Rattus norvegicus: one gene and its partner. The protein of the gene in region 1 binds, or shares a complex with, the protein of each later gene. Links are inferred from orthologs where the notes say so. Each region holds a gene or a part of one and is shown on either strand. Other genes may lie near its edges.

Region 1 (3,652 bases):
TAAGAATTCATGCTGGTTATAGGGCCAACCTGGGATTGCTATCTACTGCCCTTTCCTATCACATCCACAATATCTTACAATATTGATTTTTTATTTTTTGGCCTGTCAATACCCCAATACAGTCAATACCCCAATACTACTGTGTGTTTGTCCATACCCTTCGAGAGCCACGGCGGCCCCGCAGTTTGGAGGGTGGCGGGGCCAGCTGAGACTCGCCTAGATCAAGAGTGTAAGAAGGCGGAGAGGCAGCACGCATGCTCTTTACGACCTGGATACTGTCCTCAGCTAGTGGAGGCAGGCCCAACTCTGCACGCTTCTGTATTTTGAGAGCCTGCAGGTGCTCAAATCCACCAAGGGTAAACTAAAGAGTAAAAAGGAAAAGGGAAGTTATCCAGTACCAAGTGCCGGCCCTGAGCATGCTGAGTTTATGTATTTAGAAACAGACACACACGCATGCATGCACATGAGCACATACAGACACACACACACACATGTATACAAGCACACGCACACAAGCGCGTGCATGCGCGCGCGCGCACACACACACACACACACACACACACACACACACACAAGTAACTAACAATAAGAGGTCATAAATTTCAGAGAGAGTAAAGAGCAAGGGATGGGTGCCTGGGAAGGGAAAGGGGGAAATGATGTAATTATATTAAGATTTAAAAAAAATGTTATGTAAAAGGAAAAACCTGATCCAGTCTGAATGTCTCCAGGGTCAGAATAAAACACAGTATTACTTATTGCCCCAGAAATTAGAAGCAGGGGTGGAAAAAGCTTAAAGAACAGAAGACACCCCTGCTTTGTTTTGTTTCTTAAGCAGGGTCTCACTGTGTAACCTGAGCTGGCTTTAACTGCAAACTCCATCCTCAGTCTATCAAGTTTTACAACCATATGCCACCATCCGTGCCACAATCTCTCATTTTAAGGAGCACATTCAGATGTCAGGATGTCCCAAGAGTCACAGTTTCCTCTGCAATCCAGTGGTGGTTTACTCTGTGAAGCCCACTAATAGGGTATGTTGTTCCTTTAGCCCTATAGGATCCGAGCCAGAGGAAGACTATAGGATGAAGGGTCAGGTTGAAAAATAAATAACAAATTATTAACTATATACTTGTAAGGATGTCTATCCTCTAGTGGAAGAAAAGGCATGCATTAGTTTTAACATTTCCCAGTTACAGAAACAGGTAGAGAACGGTCAGAGGCTCATTGTAATGGACAGAGCCAGATCCCCAGTGGCCAGCTAGTGTGCTTTCTATGAAACATCGATTCTGTTAGGGAAAGGCGCCACTGATCTTCAGCTCAGAGAGTGGCATCCAACAGATCCGTCCAATAGAAAAAGAAGCCTGATGATGCTGACTATTGGACAGGGACTAACTGCTGCCAAGCTCCAGCTCGGAGAACCCAGATTAGAAGGATCAGATTGGGTGAGATAGGGATGGAGATGATCAGCCACTCACCATGACCACCTTCCAGAGGAGAAGCAGAACCTTCTTTATTGGAAAGTGGGGGGCCAGGCCACTGCAGAATTTGGTAACCATGGAAAACAGCAGGAGTGCAAAAGGCTCTTCATTATGTGTGGAGAAACCTGAGGTATAAGGAGAATCAAGAGAAAAGTGAGAGGAAGTAGCTGAGTCTGGGCACGCTGAGGAAGGCACTCAACCTCCCCTGACAAATTCCAGAGTACTTATAAAGGAGGCACAGTGAGACCCAGAAGGCTTCCCCTGAAGGGCAGGATCGAGGCTGTTGTGGTATAATTGTGTGCTCCACCCCTAGAGGGTAAGGAAATGCTTAGAGGAGCCTAGCAAACAGGAAGTAACAGTGATGACGTGGCTTTCTGGAATCAAGGTATTTCATGAACCACACTTCATTCTTAACTTATTTACATCAATAAATAGATTTTTTTTAAAAAATAGTTTTACATCTTATCCTTGTCAGATGACCACTTCAACTTACATTAGAACAAAGTTCAGTTTTTAAGGCAATTCAACTCATTTTTTCCCTCAATATGGGATTCAAATGGAAGAATGGCTATTCTCAATTCTAACCAAGGAAACTAAGACACACAGGGGTGCAGTCAAACCCAACCCTCATGCCCCATGCAATATCCTTGGCTTAAAAAGGAAAAGAAGCTATTTTTTAAAAAAGAAAAAGAACAAAAAAGGACTGCTTTCCTCTACTGCTTCCCGTCCACCCTCAGAGCTTTCTCCCTAGCCCCTCCTCACATGCTACTTCTTACTCAGTTCGGTTCGGAAGGTCTCTCGGGCTGTCCTCCACCCACAGGGGTCTATTTCTCGCTCCAAGCGGATATTTTCCACCATTAGGTACATGACACTCAGCAGTACCCTGAGGTTACAAAAGGATCATAAGAGATGCAGTTCCCAGCTTATAGTTGCAGAATTCACAGATGAAGCCAGTGGAAGTCCAACCAGAGAAGATTAGTTAAAAGGTAACTTCCCACTTTTTTTGGGATTTGGAAAAAGGGTAACACAGGCCACTTATCACCTCTGTTCAAAGCCCAGGGGCACCTTCACTCACCTGAGCTCAGTGCTGTCAGCAATGGAGACGGCTGGTTTCCGAAGGGCACTACTAGAGGCCTGGCTGTTGCTGCCATGCAGAAGAAAGAAAGAAGAGGAACCCATCAGGCCTTTTCCTCCCCATGCTCACTTACTCTACACAGAAACACAAACACCTGCCCTTCCTTGTCTCACAGAGACAGTGAGGCTCAGCTAAGGAACCTGGAGACCCTTGCTACCTCAGTAAATCCTCAGCTACAGTGAAGACAGGCAAAAAGAAAGTCTGTGGTATCAACTCCTCTTGTGATTCCCCACAATGCTTACCGCTGTGCTGGAGACAAAACAGATGCTAAGCAATATCTGACAAGAAATAAGCAGATTTCAGTGTATTCAAAACTCCCGGGTGGCAGGCACAAGAGAAAGCAGTAGTAGCAGCAGCAGCAGCAGCAGCAGCAAAGGCCACTTTGACAGTTATAACTCATGACAGATAATTAGGCTCGATGACAGAAAGTGGTCTGTTTCTCTTGTGATTATGATGGAAAAGTTTATGAATTCTAGAGTGAGGGAAGAACGCTGGCTAGGAGGACACTGTCAGTGAACTTTGAGTGGAGATGTGAGTGGGGATTCCCATAGGGAAATCTACTGAGGAACTCCACAGACATGTGAATTCTTCAAGAACGTTTCTAAGCCAGCCCTCCCCAAGGCTTCTTACTCGATTTCCATGTGGAGTAGCTCCAGGAAGGCTGAGAAAGTCCCCATCCGATAGAGCAGGAAGCAATTGTATCTGGACCAGTGTAGCACATCAACCTCAGAATCGCATTCCCCAAAAGTGCCTAGAGGATTAGATAATGGCTATAGGACTTGGCGTTGGGAGGGGGCAGGCAGTTTAGTTCTTTCTACCCCACCATATGATCTTAAAACTTTGCCAATACTTTACAGAATAATGAAGCTCACAGTATCTGGGCAGGGCCCACGAGGACTTCCTTAAATGAGTGAGTCAGTAGAGAGAAGAGGTAGTCTCCTGGGTAAGCCAAATGTGCTGCTCACCAATGGCCAATCTTTTTTGAATGATTCATTTTTATTCTATGTTCATGGGTGTTTTACTTGCATGTATGTCTGTTATG
Region 2 (3,652 bases), on another chromosome or scaffold:
TCTAACAACTCCCAATGCAGACTAAAGGAAGGATAGAGTGGGAAGACAGTCATTTAGTCCGAAAACAGAAACAAAGTTCAACTTGGTCAGGTGTAAAAATAAATAAATAATTTCTAAAGTAAAACAGAGTAAGACTACATATCTTTGAGATATATGAGGAAATGTAATACAATCTTAAATAATCCACCCATCCATTGATTTAAAGAAAGGAGGCTCCTTAACTCATGAGTCCTGATGTTCTGTATTGATGTCCCATGAGATCTTAAATAATGACACTCATAAAGAAGAAGTAGGTCATTTACATATTTGTAAAAAGGAAAGGGGAATTCAGAAACTTAAAACCCCTATAGTGTGGAATGTAGTACAGCCTACTTTATTAAGCTTCCTTTAGTATTGAATATGTGATGGGCAATAATATTAAAACTCCTACAGTACTGAATCTACTATAGTGTAGAATATTTTATGGTTCATCATACTAAAACCACATCGTGTTGAACATACTTTGGCTCATATTAAAATGTCTACAATGTGAAATATACTGTAGTTCATTATATTATAATCACAAACTTCCTACAATTTTCAGTATATTCTTAAAATTTCATTTGAAAACAAAGGCCAATACAAGCTCAACATATAGGCTGGGCTCCTAAAATGGCTTTTAAAAAGAAGTCTCAGTCAGACTTGGTAGATAAAAAGGCTTCTTACTACCAGGCTCACTGTCTAGTAGGAAGCTCATCAACTTAAAAACGGCTCACTTCTTTCAAATGCTACACAGAATATTTCTCAGAACTTTCAGTGAATTTGAAATTTGTCGATCCCTATATTAATGGGCAAAAAGATAAAAGTGTGTTGTATCAACAAATATGTCACTTAACTAAATTTGACAAATACAGAAAAGTTAAAGAGTCTGCTTGTTTCCTTTTACAGATAATGTCCACTACCATCACAAGAAGCATGAAGGAAGGGGGACAACTGGTAATGATCTGAAGGAAGTGCTTCTCAAGAATGGAGAAACTAAACACAAGTCTTCGTTCTGGTACCTTCTACGTCATCAGCTGCCATACGAAGAAGGGACTCAGTGAAGTTAACTTCTACACTTTTTTTCTCTAAGATTTTCATAATGATGTCTTGTGTGAGGCCTGGATTTTCCTTTTCAGCCTGCAAGAAAAACATGTAATGAGTCAACTGTCTGGTTCGAGATCTCTGGCTTCTGTGACAGAGGGATATACTGTGAGAAACACTGCTTCCACAATGAGATGCTTCCCATGCTTTGTTTTTTGTTTGTCTGTTTCTTTATTTTGGAGGGAGGTTTCAAGGACAAGGGGCAGATACAAGGGGATGGATGGGAAGATGAGTGGGACTGGCATACATGATGCAAAATTCATAAAGAATTAATAAAAAGGTAAAAAATCCTTACACTTCTCATGTTTTCCTATAAAAAATATCTCTAGTTTTGAAATACAGAAATGTGATCAGCATTTTAAAGCTAAAACTTAATTGTTAAGAATTTATTTACTTATAAGAACAGAAAGCATCGGTGACACGGTGCCACTAAGGGCACCATCAGCTTTGCTCAGCTTATACGTCAGAAGCTTTTATCATGTGCAAAGTCACAGACACACCGAGCATTCCTTGCCTTTCTATTATGTCTTCTCTCAGTCAACCAACAATGACAAAATCTCTTTATGATAGATTGCTCTTATCATGAATACACTGAGACATTTTAGCATATATAATATTTCATCTTAGATGGGCAATAATAACTCATCAAATGTTTTTGGAATATGTGCTGTATTAGAATTAAATACCAGGAAAAGCTAAATAAAACACTAGGGTAGCTTTTGCACTTTTAAGTAAAATTGATTTATTCACTTACCTACTTTTCATAGAATAATTTCCATTTCTCATTTTAGCTTTATAGCAAGAAATTTTGTTCAATGGTTTTTAAATTATCACTCATTGAAATTTGATTTTTTATTTACTGTTACTGGGATGTGTATGTGTGTGTGTGTGTGTGTGCGCGCGCGCGCGTTGCTTGGCCATAGGCAAGTACCCATGTACAAGTATAAGTGATAGGACAGCTCCGGGGAGTCACTTTTCTTCTCCCACTTTGCATGGGCTCGGGGAATTGAATTTTGCACATCAGGTTTGCTTGACAATTGCATTTCTGCATGGAGCCTTCCCAGCAGCCCTCTAGAGTACCCTGGAAAGCTACCGACAGAGCACGATAGATAATGTGGAGCATTATAAATAAATGCACATCTCTTAGGGCCCTAGAATCTAGCCATGCCAAGATTGAATATAAAGGCAAGTTTTGTACTTCCACTTTCACAGTAATTTAGTCTATTCCATTACTTAAATTTTTTTAATCAAATTGAAATTGTGTCTCCTTAAGGATGCCTGCCAATTAAATCTATATAACAGTTTTTCTTTTATCCTAATAATCATGTAGAAGCATAATTTCTAATCTTGATCCAATGACACTCATTCAGCTTCCTGAGTTTCAAACACAATTAACCTCTCTGACTCTGGAGCTCCATCCTAATGTCACCGAGGTTACAGTTTTCTTGTGTTCATCACTTTCTTAAAACACTCTTGAGATCTCAAGTAGGAAAACCTTAGAGGTTATGAACTGAAGTGGGGAAAGGCACAAAATATACACATGGGATGGATCACTGTTCTTGCAGCATCTAAATTCTGTTTCGTCAAGGTAACCCTCAAAAGAAAAATGATTCAAATTTGGTTAAATGAGCTATTATAGTCTTAGTTTCCTGAACTGCCAAAAATTATACTAGATGCTTATTTCATAACAGTTGTTTATCTTCCTTGTCCAAGTAGCATTAAGTCCACCTACATAATGAATTATCTTGGGGGCATGGTGTTTACAGGAAATAGCTGCAGAGAAACAGCTTGCTAATTAAGTTAAAGTGCTGAAAGAATTAAATCTAAGTCTGCACACAAAGTTTTTAATACTAGTTTGATTTGGCACAGCAAAAGGTCAGCAGTGGAAAATGCAGAAGTCTCACAGAGGCCCTGAGCTTTCCCAGTTCTCAGAGCTGAGAGCCAAATGCAGTTTATTCCGTAGTTTAGGTAGTACAAATATCTTAGGGAAGTGGTATATCCTAATAACAGAGTTATCCCAAAACTTTGTACACAACAAAATAGACAATATTTTATCTATTGCTATGTACTAATTAATGGGATGTTTGCACTTCCTGAGCACTGTAGTTTCTCAAACACCGGACTTAGATTGGCACCACCATTCTCATTTCCCCCTGCACATTGATTTTTTTTTTTTTCCTTTTTCTGGTACTTGCTTTTAGTAGTTCCTCAAAGACAGGCCATCATTTCAAAGAATGCAGATCAATCTAGTATGTTGAAATCACAAACTACTTCTAAAGAAGTTCACAATGTAAACAGATGTTAGTTTCACAGTACTCATTTTTCTAAAACACTTTACACAACCCACTAGGTTTGCAGGGCAGCTGGGCACAACTGTTGGAAATTATGTCTTGGTGCAGTGGTTTTCTCAACCTTCTTAGTGCTGCAACCATTTAATATAGTTCCTCATGTTGCATAAAAATAATTTTTTTGCTATTTCATAACTGTAATTTTTCAACTGTTATGAATTGTAGTATTAATATAGTCTTAG

Evidence for each region. Proteins that work in one complex are often made in the same cells at the same time.
Region 2: Strip2 (region 1) and Pdcd10 share a complex: the UniProt entries of both Homo sapiens proteins name them as parts of the core of STRIPAK complex. The link is inferred for Rattus norvegicus from reciprocal best matches to the Homo sapiens genes STRIP2 and PDCD10.

The regions. Positions count from the first base shown.
Region 1 is NC_086022.1:59,513,510-59,517,161, reverse strand, and holds part of Strip2 (striatin interacting protein 2), read right to left. Parts: intron 3,362-3,652; coding exon 3,241-3,361; intron 2,620-3,240; coding exon 2,551-2,619; intron 2,364-2,550; coding exon of another isoform or gene 2,359-2,363; coding exon 2,252-2,358; intron 1,601-2,251; coding exon 1,473-1,600; intron 362-1,472; coding exon 158-361; intron 1-157. UniProt on the Homo sapiens protein: Plays a role in the regulation of cell morphology and cytoskeletal organization. Required in the control of cell shape. Calmodulin-binding scaffolding protein which is the center of the striatin-interacting phosphatase and kinase (STRIPAK) complexes.
Region 2 is NC_086020.1:162,613,487-162,617,138, forward strand, and holds part of Pdcd10 (programmed cell death protein 10), read right to left. Parts: intron 1,159-3,652; coding exon 1,041-1,158; intron 1-1,040. UniProt on the Homo sapiens protein: Promotes cell proliferation. Modulates apoptotic pathways. Increases mitogen-activated protein kinase activity and STK26 activity. Important for cell migration, and for normal structure and assembly of the Golgi complex.